2 linked regions of the Pelodiscus sinensis genome follow. The protein of the gene in region 1 binds, or shares a complex with, the protein of each later gene. Links are inferred from orthologs where the notes say so. Each region holds a gene or a part of one and is shown in the gene's direction. Other genes may lie near its edges.

The links.
Region 2: the proteins of PRPF40A (region 1) and SF1 are in contact, whole or in part, in an NMR structure (PDB 8PXX), measured with the Homo sapiens proteins. The link is inferred for Pelodiscus sinensis from reciprocal best matches to the Homo sapiens genes PRPF40A and SF1. Residues at the interface, in NP_001352526.1 of Homo sapiens: His164, Ser166, Tyr172, Tyr174, Ser181, Thr182, Trp183, Tyr213, Tyr215, Ser222, Arg223, Trp224; in NP_004621.2 of Homo sapiens: Pro575, Pro576, Leu577, Pro578, Pro579, Gly580, Ala581, Pro582, Pro586, Pro587, Pro588, Pro589, Pro590.

Annotation. Positions count from the first base shown.
Region 1 is NC_134717.1:28,834,475-28,842,189, reverse strand, and holds the start of PRPF40A (pre-mRNA-processing factor 40 homolog A), read left to right. Parts: upstream 1-4,674; 5' UTR 4,675-5,219; coding exon 5,220-5,576; intron 5,577-7,715. Other genes in the region: ARL6IP6 (ADP-ribosylation factor-like protein 6-interacting protein 6), read right to left, coding at 1,302-1,438, 3,621-3,674, 4,167-4,494.
Region 2 is NC_134721.1:35,855,720-35,863,054, reverse strand, and holds the start of SF1 (splicing factor 1), read left to right. Parts: upstream 1-4,310; 5' UTR 4,311-4,394; coding exon 4,395-4,884; intron 4,885-6,883; coding exon 6,884-7,012; intron 7,013-7,335. Other genes in the region: MAP4K2 (mitogen-activated protein kinase kinase kinase kinase 2), read left to right, coding at 111-181, 421-476, 1,661-1,748. UniProt on the Homo sapiens protein: Necessary for the ATP-dependent first step of spliceosome assembly. Binds to the intron branch point sequence (BPS) 5'-UACUAAC-3' of the pre-mRNA. May act as transcription repressor.

The DNA of each region.
Region 1 (7,715 bases):
GTCAATCAATACAAGCCTGATCAAAAATTCAAATGAAGCGCGGATTTACAAATCTCACGCTTCATTTGTATAATTGTTTGAGCGCTGTTTCGAAAAAGAAGCCACGGCCTAGATGGGGTTCTTCTGAAACAAACAAACCCAAACAAACAAAGCCACTTTTTTGAAAGAATCTGTACTCTTGGAAAAAATGAGGAGTATTGGTTTTTTTAAAAAATCCCTCCCCCCCCCCAAAGAACCTGTCTAGACTGTGGTTTCTTCTTTGAAAAACCCTTTTTTCGAAAAGGCACTCTCACGCGATTGTACAAATGAAGCACGAGATTTGTAAATCCGCACTTCTTGAATTTTCAATTGAGCTCATTTACATTCAAAATTAATCAAACTAACATGTAGCCACCACAGTGATACAATCAGTTTATAATGTCCATACTACACTCTTTGTATCAACAATGCACATCCTCACCAGGAGTGCCTGCACTTATTTAATTGCCAGTGGGAGACATTCTGGGATGGTTTCTGAAAGGCAGCAACTGTCTATGTAAGTAATTCTGTGTTTACACTAAATACATCATTGATCTAATAAAATGTTTCTTAAACTGTGTTCCATGTGTGCCACAAGGCAGTCGGATGTGTGCCATAGAGAACAAGAGTCCAAAATGGCTGTCTTTTTGGGGGGGGCTCAATAACCCCCTCCCAAACACACCTTTTTTTGGGCTAAAGAAAAAGAAAAAAAAAACACCCCACCTTTGGAGTTCCTCATTAAAAAAATTGTTTCGTGTTCTTTGGTCTTAAAAAGTTTAAGAAACACTGATCTAATACATCAACTTAGATTCTATGCCTCTTGTAGTGATGGTAATTAATTTCAGAGAGCAAGATATACTGATGCGAGTAACATTTTAGTGTAGTTGCTTAAGTTTGATTTACATAAATTGCCTTATTGAGACCCAACTCAGCAGGATACACCAGAGATAAGTGTTAACTGACCCCTAACTTCAGGAAACACATTAAAACTTTCTTCAGCCAGAAGAAAGTTATTTTGAAGTCTTGCATGCTAAAGGGTACTTAATTTTTTTGAAATCTGTTTCAAAGATTTCAGAAACAATAGGACTATACCAGATAAATACCAAGCTGTGCTTGGTATTTTTTTCACCATTAACATATGTATACACAGAAAACTTATCCAATTCTTGTGTCTCCAGATCACATAAGACGCAATATGAAACTGTCACAGCTATTGCTCGAATTGTATCTACCATGTCTTGTAAATAAATAAGTCGATAATCCAATCCTTGCAATTAAATTACTTACTTAAATCGTGCAGGTGAAAGTGGAGTTGGAGGAAACATTCCTGGTTCAAAGGAATCAAAATAAGTCACCGTCCAAGAAAAGCTGCAGCACGAGAGCCCTGTCATCAAGGCTAAAACAAACAGACCCCAAAATCCTTGGGAGTAGCGGGAGAAAGAAAAGTTACTATAACACCGAATTTCAGAAGAGTTTCACAGAACACACATTTGCAATATAGCATGAATGTTCTACATCACTGAAACAAAGCATTTCTAGTAAGTCAAGCAGAGTAGCTGCTGTTTGTCAGTTCTTTTGACGACAAAATACTTCCATCCCGGAGCAAGGTTACCTTTGTTGGCAGGAGTTCCTGCTAACAATGCACTATTCAGACTAGTACTTGCCATAGCAAAACTTTTGACTTTCAGGTTTTCTTTTTTTAAAAAAAATACTTGAGGCTAATTTACACTATGCAGCTTTTAGTGGCTGTGTCAATACTGCACTGTCACTAAAAGTCAGCATATGTGAACTTAGAAGCATTTTGCCACCTCTGAGGCTATCCCAACAAGCAGGTTTCACTGTGTCAGGAAGAGAGCAGTCCTGTCGACAAAGCAGCATTCACAAGTGCACTTGCTGCAGCAAAACTTTGTCATTCACTGTTTTTTAAAAGCATATGTGAACAACAGAAGTTTTGTTGAGAAAGTGCAGACACAGCCTGAAAGATAAAAGTTGTGTCGTTAAATTGTCAGTGTACACATAGCCTAAGCCTCTGGCTAAGGCCACGCAACAGGGGATGAATTACTAAGTATCCTTTTCTGTTCATTCCCCACTAAGCATCCTGTATTGGCTACTGTAGGAAGACAGAACACTGGGCTAGAGGGACCAGTGGAACCTCAGATACACAAAGTTACATTCATATTGGCAGGGCTCAACAAATCCGCTCGCCCATGGCGAGTAGATTTTGGCAGCTGGCGAGCTGTGATGGGGCTGAGCCGCCCCGCGTCCTACGATGGGAGCGGGGCCACATGAGGGCTTAGGGCGGGGCCAGAGTGTGCATGCGTCCTGACATCAGGGGGAGAGGTGCCGGTGCAAGAAAGCGCCGCAATCAAAAGGAGAGCAATGGAGGAAGGCAGAGGGGAGAGGAGACGGAGGAGAGTAACGGAGGGAGAGGGGAGAACAGAGGAGCGAGCTAGAACACTGTAGTGGGTGGAGGAGTGAAGGGTGAGAGCCGAGGAGGACAGGAGACAGAGGAGGTCAGAAAAGGCAAGAGGGAGACGGGGAGTGGAGCAGGGAGCAGGGAGCAGAGCACGGGGGCAGAGGAAGTGAAAGGAGAAGCAGAGTAGGTAGCAGCCCAGGACGGGGCTCTTTAGTGTCTCTGCTCTTTCTATAATTTGTTGAGCCTTGAATATTGGTCAACTGGACACCATGTGGACACAGCTTCCTGCTGGGACTCCCGCCCTCCCGCATACAGGGGCTGTTAGACCTGGTGCGAGGCAGGACTAAGGAGGTTAAGGACTAGTCGATCCTCCCCTCCCCCTTGCTGCCTCGATCAGATAGAGGCAGCAAAGGGGAGGGAAGGGGGTACTTCAAAGGGGCAGTGCTGAATGGAGCACAGGCTCAGCTGGGAACTCCAGAACAGCATTTAAAGTGCACAGAGCTCGGGAGTCCCCAGCTGATCCCGCGTTCTGGGGAAATGTGGAGTCCCTTGCTGACCCCAAGACTCCAAGCGGGTGCTGCCACTTTGAAATGCACAAGAACCTCCAAGGAGCCCAGAGTCAGCGGGACTTCCCACTGGCCCCGGCACACAGAGTTTCAATTCTGAAATGTGTAAGAGGCCCAGCGGAGGCTCTTGCACATTTCAAAGGAGGAATGTGGAAGTGTCCATCAACTACTCAACTGGTAAATTAATTGAAACAAAATACAGGACTATGTAGCACTTTAAAGACTAACAAGATAGTCTTTAAAGTGCTACATAGTCCTGTATTTTGTTTCAGCTACACCAGACTAACACGGCTACATTTCTATCATGGTAAATTAATTGTTATTTAACATTTTTGGTCAGGATATTAATTTCTTCTGTATTCCAATATATGCTGAGAAATATGTGCTTAACATAAAAAGTTTCTTCTGAGTTTTACATGATTGGATTCTGGCCAGCCAAGATACTCTCCATTGCCTGTTATGTGGCAGTTATGGTTAGGAGAAGCAATCAAGTAGACACAAGCTTCTGGCATTTGTCCAAAGAATCTGAATATTTACTCTAGTTGGCTGTTATAAATAACAAAGTGTTTTTAGTCTCCTCTGAGCTGCAGGAGCTCTGAAAGAACCATATGAATGCATACCTAACAAGCCAGTTTCTATGCCATCTTCATTTTTCTCTTTCTCAGAGCGCAAATCTACAGAGAGAGAGAAATGAGTTATGAAGCATTTTCTAACACAGCAATTTTAGAAACCACCACTCAGCAGGGGCTCACTTTGCTGCATCTCCTCAGCAAAGTCTAAGGACACCAGCTCAGAAAACACTCAGCTTAAAGCAGAGGAGCCAGGAGATCTGGGCTACATTCCTGCTTCAGCACAGCTCTGGTCAGTGTAGAATCTTAATCAAGCTCGCTACCATGAGAGGGCCAGCGTGGCCAAGCCCCCCCATGGTGTATAGGGCAGGCCCCCCCGGAGGGAGGGAGGGGCTGAGCTCCAGCAAATACACTCTCCCCTCTCCTCCTGCTTCTTCGCCAGGCCCGCGCCTTCCACCGGGGCAGCCGCGGCGCTCGGACGGGTCCCCGCTCTCCCCACGGGTCCCGGCCGCGGCCGGGAAAGGCAGCAGGCGCCTGCTCCCTGGCTGCGAGCGGGACCGACAGTCCCGCAGGAGCTCCGCGGCGCGGGCCCCTCACCTTTGAGCACGAGGCAAGCGATGGCCAGCAGGAAGGCGAGGGCGGAGACGGCCAGGAGGCAGCAGAGCATCGAGCAGGCCCGGGCCGGCCAACGGGCCCCCCCCTGCGGAGCCATCAGCCCGCCATTCCGCTTGTGGGGCAGCGGGACTCCGCCCTGGGACGCCGAGACGCCGCTCGCTGCTGCCACCTCTTCCTCCTCCGTCTCCTGCAGCAGCTCGGCCTGCAGGCTCCGCGCCACCGCGCCGCCCCCCAGCCACGGCGTCCCGGGGGTGGCCCCCAACCTGCTGAGCCGGCCCAGCCGCCCGCTGCTGCCCGCAGTCACAGACATGGCGCAGCCGGCGGGAAAGCGCAAAACACGGGCCGGAGCCCAAGGCGGGGCTGCCCAAGTTGAAACTCCCACTCCCGCGTCACCGGGCACCTACCAATCTGCCCGCGTGCAGGGGCGGCCAGGAAAAACCATCAGCAACCGCTGACCCGGAACAGAATGGAAAAGACTGAACTCGGCACGTACCAACGCCTGTCGACTGAGGGGAAGACAAGTTAACGTCTGTAACTAGGCGCCTACCAACTCGCCTCCGAGGGGCAGTGGAGAATCGCGTGCAGGTCATCAGCGATAGGCGATTAAGGAACGTGGGTGTCGCGCACCCCCTCCTTAGGTGTCAGTGGTTCCTTCTACCTTCCTCAGCCCCGCCTGAATCGTCCACGTGACCTTTTCCCAGCATTCCCTCCACACGTCCCCCCCCCATCGCAGTTTCTTCCCCTCGCGAGCTCCGGAGGCCAGCGCGAGCGGCCCTCGCGCGCCCTCTCCCCCGGTGAGCGGAGGCCCCCAGCGCGCTAGACCGCGGCGGGCGCCCTTTCTCTCCCCTGCCTCTAGCGGCGCGCACTACCTCGCCTGACGCGAACCCCTCGCGCGCCCGATTCCGGCGCGACCCCTTTCTCCCGCGGCGCGGGGCCTTTCTACGCGCCCGGGCCGGGTCCCCTCGCTCCGCTAACGGTCTCCTGTACGGCTTCCGGGGAAGACTCCGCGCCTCCGTCCGTGGGCCGGGGGTCGCCATGTCGGGCGGGGATTCGGCGGCAGCTGCGGCCTCCCCCCAGCCGCTCCCCTTTTCCTTGCCGAAGCCCCCTCCCCTCATGCAGCTGACGCCGGGGGACGCTGTTCGCCCCGTCGCCTCCGCCACGGACCAATCGCCGAAGAGTTCCCGGTTGGGAGGCCGCCCGGATTGGCCGACTGGGAAGCCTGTCAGCCTCCTGGCCCCGCTGCTCCCGCCCCGTGGCGAACCCGAACCTCTGATGCCCTTTGGTCCCTCGTCGCGGCAGCCGCTTAGAGGGAGGCTGCTTGGCAGGTGTGGCGGGGGCAGCCTCTTGAACCCCTCGATGAGGCCGGGCGCAGTGGATAGAGCGTCCCTCATGGTAAGCGGAGGGTCACATGCTGTAATGGGGAAGGGGGCGGGGACCTTCCTGGCGGCGACAGGAGGCGTGACGAGATCTCCCGGCTGTATCCCAGAGAGGGCACCTACCCGTGGACATGCAATACAGTGGGGACAACTCCGCTCCCGTTCCTAGGGGCTGGGGCTAGTGCCTGAAGTGTCTTTAGAGCAACAGGAACCTGACGGCATCCTCCAAGCCTTCCCTTTTGCCTTTCTCAGAAACTCCTGGGAGGAAGTTTCAGGGGCAGCTACAGTAGGACTAGTGAAGTCTCCACCTTAGGGTGCTAATGCATCTTTCTGACTCCGATTGGACTTAGAGGGGGGTCCTCCATCTCTGTATGGGGTTGGCTTCTCCCACTGAGCTCGTCTCTGATTATCCCTTGCTTTTATTTCACTTGAACTTCAAAATATTACAACAAATGGTCTGGTAGCACTTTAGGGACTAACAAAACATGTAGATGGTATGAGCTTTCATTGGGCACAGCCCACTTCTTCAGATGATCGGAAAAATGCCCACAAAAGCTCATGATACCATCTACATATTTCTTTAGTTTATAAAGTGCTACCAGACCATTTTTTTTCTGTAACAGACTAACTTGATTACCCCCTGAAGCTTCAAAATATTAGTGACTCAACACTACGATGTTGACCATTCTGCATATCTGCAAGCTGAAATCCAAGTTTATAATTAATGTGATTTTCATTTTGCTATACCACTTGATGATACATTGATAGCTAAGTTAATGATGGTGTATTGAAATAGTAGATGAGGCAGGATAGTCATAAGTGGTGTTATGTTTAACTTAGCTAAATATTTTTTCATTGTTTTAAAACCTTTCATATTTCCATAAATCATAATTTTCCACATTCAAGAGGATCTGCAAGGGCCCATTGAAATAAAAGGACAAAAATAATTGAGAAGCTCTCTGATTACTCTTTCAGTTTAACCTGTGTCTTAGATATTACTGAAGGAAGGAATCACAATGTAGATATGTATATGTTTCTTTTATATAACTAAAAAGAGGTTTAAAAGTTACGTCCACTGACAAAAATACTGAAAGCTACTATTAAAATGATCAGATGTTACTTCAGCTTTAAAGCTAAAATAATTGAGATGATCAGTGCAAGATTAATCCTTTAAAAAGTACTTCTGTGATAATTTGGAGAAAATTTGATGGCTGATTATATTCTGGTTTGCAGAGATTTGTCATTTCTGTGTCTTTTCTACTTATTTTTTAAGATTTTGTATTTCCGTTGTTTACTTCTTGTTACTTTGATATATTTTGATGTACATGCTAATAATTTGATGGATAAATCATTCTTGATAAAGTGCCCTGTATAAAGTCAGTTTCCATACTGTTTCAAATTCCTGTAGATTACAATTTTTTCCTGATCCTAGTGTCTCAGTGCCTGTGGTATTGCATTGCCAACTATAGATGCAGCAATAAGGTTAACTTTTTCACTCATTTTTAGTATAGTAAATTTCCGATAATCCGGCACCTTTAGGACCCAGGGGGTGCCGGATTATCAGATATGCCGGACTGTCGGAAGGGAGGGCTGTGGGGGATCTGGGGTGGAGTCGGGGGGGATGCGCCTCTCGGTGCTGCGGGACCAACCTGGCAGCACCCCAGCTGCTCTGCCCCAGACTTCCTCAAGTCAGCTGCTGCTGAAACCGACCAGCAGCGACCAGCAGCTGACTCGGGGAAGCCTGGGGCAGAGCAGCAGAGGTGCTCTGCCCCGGGCTTCCCAGAGTCAGCCACTGGTCAGTTTCAGCAGCGGCTGACTTGGATGTCTGGGGCAGAGCAGCTGGGGTGCTGCCGGGTTGGTCCCGCAGCGCCGAGGGGCAGAGCAGCTCCAATTGTCTGGCTGCCTGGAGCACTTCCGGGTTTCAGATGGTGCCGGATCATCAGGAGTGCTGGACCATTGGATGCCGGGCCACTGGAGTTTTACTGTAGAACTAATCTTCCTTCAGAACTATTGTTTGTTCTAAAAAAACCTAAAATATTTGGTCCATAAAGTTTAATATATGATGCAGATGTTTGTAGAAAAAAACAGGGAGAAAATGTATTGGTGCTAATATATAACTGGCACCTTCATATTGCAGTTAACTTTAAACGTGTGA
Region 2 (7,335 bases), on another chromosome or scaffold:
TGTACTCTCCTACCTGCCCTGATAAGTGTCCTCCACATGCCAGCTTTCCAAGATGTGGTCATCCATAACATCTGCCACTCACCCCTGTCTTTCTGTCCTGCCCACCACAGTGTGCCTTCAAGACAGTGTGCTGGCCTTCTGGAAACATGGCATGCAGGGCCGCAGTCTGGAGAGCAATGAGGTGAGTGCAGGTCAGGGCTTGGGTGGATGCATCTACCTATCTTCCCTAGATGAGGGGGGATCAGACGCTGCAGGGGGGAATAACTTGGAGATGATGTATGCAGAGGTAGTATTGCTCCTGAGGGAGACTCTGTGATATAGGATCTATCCCCATCGTTGGGTAGGGGATGGAGATGCATTGACCCAGTAGGGATCTGGGCTGGGAGAACTCTGTGCTGATCTGAACCTTCTCCTTGACAGGTGACCCAAGAAATCACAGATAAATCCAGGATGTTCCGTGTGCTGGGAGCCAACAGGTGAGACCCCAAAGTGAGGATGTAGTCATGGCAGATGGCAGCAAGCAATTCTTGTCCTGCTGTCTCCACCCTCTGATCAAGTGGTATGGCTGCCCTGCTATAGCTCGCTACCCCCAGTCTGGCTGTGGTAGGAACCTGTTGCCAGCCTGCAAGGCTGGGACAGTGGGAAAATTATCTGGGAGACCAGGAGCTGAGAACTTTTTTCCTTCCTCTTGCCTAGGCCAGATCACTTTAGTAGCTGGTCTCCATCTTGCACACTCTAGTGTGTGCATCCTGTACCCTTGATCCTGTGGGATGTTACATGACTGGGTGGATTTGCAGGCTTGTCAGGGTTTGGGCTGCATTCTGGGCAAGCCAGAGGTTGCATGGTGAATGTGCTGTATTAGGGACTGGGTTTGTATAACTGGGATGAAGTTATGCTGCTGTGCTTATCATTGCAGTATCAGAGCACGTGCCAGGAGCACATTAAGCATAAAGTGGTGGTTCTTTTGTCATCTTGCTAAGGGAGAAGCATGTGTGGGGAGTTTAGTTTGGGTTTATACAGCCAGTTCCCGACTTACGTTCCAAACACCTGATTGTAACTCCATTTGTTCGTAAGTCGGAAATACATGCTTTTACATACAGCCACACTGTTCGTAAGTGTGGATGGTGCATTCGTTAGTCGGGGACCAGCTGTAATGGGATTAATGGGAGGTTGGTCATAAGTGTGGATGGTCATAAGTCGATGCTTTTGTAAGTCGGGGACTGGCTGTATAATGAAATGCTGTTATGTTTATATGAGAAATGATGAGGTCAGATAAATGTGCCCAGCACTTGAACCAAGAGTTGATTTTGCATGGTTGGATTGGAGAGGCTGATTTTGCATGGTGGCCAAGGTTGTGTGATTGGGTTGAGGGGGGAGGGCTGGAGTTGCGTAGAGGGTTTGGTTTTGTGTGATAGGTAGACTGCATTCATGGCTGTGGGACTGGAATGGGGTCTAGATTGGGTGGTGGAATACATTCATGGCTGGGGCTGGCTTTGCTGAGTTGCATTCCTAGCTACATCTCTCAAGTCACCTTTGAGCAAAACAGTCGTCCTGTTCTGCTCAAAAAACATTCTGACCATGAATTGTTAGTCTTTAAGGCTCCATAGTTGTTTTTGCGGAAACAGACTAACACAGCTACCTCCCTGAAATTTCTTTCCAGAGATGTAATCCTGGAGAGCACGCCTACGGAGAATCCTTTAGCTCACAGCAACCTCTACATCCTAACGGGGCATGAGAGCAGCTATTGAGTATGTGGAACTGCCTTTCCAACATCCCCATGGGGATGGATGCAGAGCCCCAGTGCAAGGGGAAATTCTGCTGTGATGATTTAAACTACTGATTTCTGAGATAGCAGGAGCCTAGGGAACTCTTCCCATGAGCAAGGTCCATCTTGTGTTGTGGGAATCCATGCCAGATGGATTCTATTTTATAAACTCTACAGTCCACCTCTTCTGTTGTCCAAAGTCTTCCTGAGATACTCCTGTTTTTCAGAAGTGTATGGAGAGATTCCTTCTGCCCTTTTAGAGTGAGCATCTCCTGAGACTCTTATGTTTGCAATAATTGACTACCAGCCAGTCCAAAGAAGCCTCCTTAGTCTGTCTTGACTGATACTTGTGCCTGCTGAATGCTTCCTCTTCTCTCCTCCCCACCCCATTCTTAATCCTAAGAAGGGGTCTTCTGGAGAGACATGTTGTGAAAGTGTCCTCCTCCAGCTTCAACATGAAGACAATCCATTTTCCAGTGGGTGCATTCTTTTTCCTATGTAGCACTTAAGGTCCAGAAATCTGGCAAACATCTTCAGCAAAAGGAGTGGGAAAGCAATTCTGTGTCTTCTCATTCAAAGTGTAAGCAACAAGCAAAGCTTGAGGTGGGACAAACCTGTTGAATCAGTGGCTGGGATACCTATTTGACTGTTTTGGTAATGGTTGGGCAGGTTGCTTGGCTGCATGAGTTCTGATGAGGGGAAGAGTGTGATGGCTGGTTGGGCATAGGTTGGCTGGTTTAAGTAGCTGGGTGATGGCTTGGTGGCAGAGAGTTGAGTGCTTGTTGGTAGGGAGTGGTGATTAGCAGGATGAGGTGGTGGTTTGGTTTGGAAGTGGCTGGGGCAATACTTGGGTGAATGAGGGGAAATATGGGTTTGGCTGATGAGGCAATGTGAGGGACTTGTTTAGTGAGTAAGCCAATTGCTTCGCAGGGTGGGGTGGCTGATTGGTATAAAAGAGGTTTGAGAGTATCTGCTACAGAGAGACTGGATGCATGGTTGGCATTCTGAGCATGAAAAGATGGGTGGGTGGGTGGGTGGATGGATGACTGTTTTAAAATGAAGCAGACTGCTTCACTACCAGGCAGTGTGTTAAACTGGCTGGCTGTTGGGATGCCTTGTTCTTTTGCTGCCTTGGAAAACTGTGCCAATCCTAAATGCCATTGTGACAGAGATCAGAATCTTGGGGCCAACAGCTCTACTAACTCAGGCAGTGGAAGCTTCCCTTTCTGTTTTGCTAATTTCTCTGTTTTTTAACTGAGAGCTGGAATTTATGGATAAAAAACAAAACTTGAAAAAATATGCTATTTAAGAGATATATTGATATTAAATGTGTCTTTTGTTTGCTTGGTGTTAATTGGCTGAATCATTCCTAGGGGAGAGCCATTGGGGCCTCTTTGCCTATTCAGGTCCACTGCTGTCCTTTCTAGTTTTTATTGCTGTCACACTAATTGGTAAGGACTGGTTTTCAGTCCTGCCTGAAACCCCCTTCTTCCTCCATGAGAACTGTTGTTTATCATGGGATGGGGTAATAGTCCCAGCCACTATCACTGGGACCTGGGCAGGGGTAAGGAGAACACAGTTGTGTGTTTGTGGGCTGGGACTACGCTCTCCTTGCAAGTGAAATGTAGCCTCGGAGAAGGGCTGAAGACTAGGGATGTAAAACATGTATTTGTGTAAACATGTAACCGCTGGGTTCTTAGCAGTTACAGGCAGCAGCAGTCAGTGCTTGTGGGGAGCTGGCTTTTAAGCCGTAGCCTTCATCTCCCGGCTCACCCCTATAGTTTTGCTGTGCACCACGGTGCAGGTGATGTGGCCTAGCACCGCCTTCCCCAAGCCTAGTTCCCAGGAGCCCCTCGGGCTGCAGCAGGGTGAGGAGGAGGAGGCTAGGCTCCCATGAGCCCCTGACAGGGGGAGGCGGTGCCTGCACTCACTGGGGCTCTGGGGCACAGCTTCGCACCCAGGATCGCTCCCGCCCTATCACTCACCAATCAGAGAATGCTCCGTTAATTGAAAGACCCTTTCACCAATCATGGGCGACTGCGCTGCGCTCTGCCCAATAAGAGGAAACCTCCGCATTAACGTCACGACCAACCGACCCCGCACTGTACGGGGTCTTCCAACGACCTTTGCAAAACCTCTAAGGCGCGCCGCGAGTGTCGCAAGACCGCCCCCTCCCCCAATCCAGACGCAGCTCGATATCCCGAGAGCCCGCCCTCCGTCTCTTCAACCAGTCCTAACACGGAAACCTAACTGTGTTCCCGCCCACCGTGCCACACTGCAAGTACCGCGCCTTAAATGCCCAGTCAACCAATCATAACTTGTCTTTCATCCCTCCTTCTCACGCATACTGCCGCTCAACCATTCCCATCACTGTTCGCTAGAGAGTGACATCTCATCTGACCTATGGGTGTTGCCTTCAGCACTTGTCTCCTCTCCTCCAATGACTTTCTTTCACTGGAGCGGCTCGGCCAATGTATCAGCGCGGTTGGCTAACGGACGCATGGCGCTGCCAATAGAAGGACGTGCGCGTACGACTGACATCTCGGCGGCCAATGATTTTCGAGTAGCTTTGTGAGGCGCATAGGCTGGAAGGTTCGCGAAACGCGAACGCCGCGCTGAGGAGACTCTAATGGCGGCGACTGGAGCCAACGCCACGCCGCTAGGGAAGCTCCATCCACCCCCACCACCGGGGAAGCCAGGTTACCCGATGCCTCCGCCGGGTCCACCTGGGCTGGTCCTCCCGGGTCCTCCTCCTCCACCGCCGCCAGGCCCGGGCCAGGCCCAAGCCGCCTTGCTGGGGCCTATGGCGGCTGCTGCCTACCCCTTCGCCGCGCTGCCGCCGCCGCCCCCTCCTCCACCCCCACCTCCCCCGCCGCCCCAGCCTCAGCCCCCGCCGCAGCAACCGCAGCCCCCGCCGCCCCCACCGCCGCCGCCTCCTCCACAACAACAGCAGCAGCCGCCCCAGGCTGGGGGGCCTCAGGCTCCCCCTCAGTACGGGCAGTACCGCTACCCGTCCCCGCCGCCGCCCCCGCAGGGCCATGAGCAACAGCAGCAGCAGCCGCCGCCGCAGCAACAACCGCAGCAGGATGAGAGCGGCCCGGGAGGGGGCAGTAACCACGGTGAGGAGCAGGACGAAAGGGGGTCGGAGAGGGAGGGTCATAAGAGTGGGGCTAGGAAGAATTGTAGGTTGGGTGTGGGGCTGCAGATGAACCGTCGGGCGGTATGAGGGTCTATAGAAGTAAGAGGCAAGCACTGCGAGGGAGCGATGGACGTTGGGAAGCTGGAGCGGTGGGTGTTATGTGTAAATGTGGCAGTGTTCGGTGAGGGAACTGGCTCGGCACCTTTTGAAGCTAGTTGCGAGTCTAGGCTGGGTAGGCAATTTTGGGGGACGTTACAGTGAAAAAGTGAAGGCATTGGGGCTTTTGAGATGGCCATGGGGAGTTAAAGGGGCTGAAACGGAGAGAGAGTTATAGTTTTGGCAATTGTGGGATGGGGTAGAAGTGGAATGGGTAAAATGGTGTTTAAGGGTTCATGGGATGAGACGTCTCTTGACACTTTGTAGGGGTATTGCAGGGAAAGAGGTATATTTGAGAATGGAAGGAAGTGATGGTGTTGAGTACTGGGAAAGAGGAAAAGGGTTGTGACTAATAAAAGGTTGAATGAGATGGGGATAAATAGGAGTAGGATGAGACTAGATTGATAAATGGAGAATGAGTCTAGGTGGAAGATGAACCAGCCAAATATGGGGAAATGAAGGGGAACAGGATGGGTTGAGGTGTTGGCTGTTTTCTTTGAAGAAAGAGAATTGAGCAAGGGAACATTCTTAATTGGAGAGTGGGTTTGTGGCTAGGAAGATGGATGGAAAGACTTGGTTGTGGGTACCAAGAGGAAAAAAAAGATCTGAGTGTTGATATCTTAAAACGGGGGTTCTAAACATGTGGGCATGTGCTGTTCAGTGGAAGCTTTGGGCACAAAACTGAAGTCCCAAAACACTGAACAGCCTGAGATTGGTATTCTTGGAAGAAAGGAGGCCTGGTGGTGTTTATAGGCATTAGCAGATACTCATGCAACCAAAATGGAGGTCTGTGTAGTATTGGGAAGAAATGAGGGTAAAAGCTACCATGGTCTCTTCTTTCACTTTCTGTTTTTGCTGGTCTCTCTTTTTAGCAAAATGATTAGAGATAGCTAATCCTGTTAATCTTCTAATCTTTACAATAAGAGCTCATTTTGGAAATCTGTATTTAAATCATAACAGAATGCTTTTCTGTGTGAAGGCACGTGAAAGCTCAGCATAAAAAAGGAGCAGTAACAATTTCCTACACACTGTTAAAGGAAAACTGCTGTGGGTATAGATAGTTTCCCATCACATCATCCAATGTAAATATCCCAGGTCTTGTAATGTGTACAAAGAGGCTGAATGTGAAATGGTGCTGTGAGGCAGCCATGTTGCTTTACTGATGGAAATCAGAACTGTAACATTCCCTTTAAAAATGGTGGCAGAAATTATTAGAAAAATAGTGTTGGATTCTAGAGTAATGTTTTTTCTTTAGAGAGCCTTCCTGTTTTCAGTTGGTTTGACTAGCTTGATTGAGGAGCATAATTTTGTAGTTGATATCACTGTTCTGTTGAACTCAAGTCTACTGAGTTTGTCCCTTGCTTATTTGCTGACAATAAATACATCTTTTAACATGGCAACATGGCTGCTTTTGCTTGTTTTTGTCTACGTATTGTGGTAGCACCCAATGGCCTGAACATAGATAGCATTCACACAGTACTAGGTGCTGTGCAAACACGGTGACAGTAAAAACATAAAGGCTGAATAGACAGGGAGTAGAGTGGAAACCGGCATAGCACAGAGGTAAAGTTATTTGTCCAAAGTCAATTGGCAGGTCAGTGATTGAACTGAAATTATATCCACTAAAACTGTGTGCAACTTTTCTCATCCCTATAAGAGATTTGGTATTGGAAGGAGTGTAGGTTGCCTTGTCAGTATTTTTTATTTAAGGGAATTCTGTGTGCTCAGTGTTGCTGTTAATAACTTTTGTGTTATGTTATGTTATGTTGTAGAAACACCTTCAAACATACAAAGTTTGTCTAAAAAAGGATGCTTGCCTTTAGATTTCCCTAATAAGAAGCGGAAGAGAAGCAGATGGAACCAAGACACCATGGAGCAGAAGACTGTCATCCCAGGAATGCCCACTGTTATCCCTCCTGGACTCACTCGTGAGCAAGAGAGAGCTTATATAGGTAAATACACGTTCTCCCCTTTTCCCATCTGATCTGCTGTCAGTGGTGATCCTATTTCTGGATTCTGAGTGATTTGAAAGTTAACCTTTTTTTTCTAGACTTCAGGTTATTATGGCCTTATTACATAACTTCAAATCAATAATTCTCACACATTTGCTCAGTCATGCACTGTTGCAGCTCCCCTCTCCTGCTTGTGACAGGAGTAATGTTCTCCACAGGCATGGTGAAAATGGAATGGCTAGAATAGTTTTTGTAGGTGTGATAGTCCTTTCTCTAGATATATTGGCCCTTATTCTGGAGGTGTACTTAATAATCTCATTACA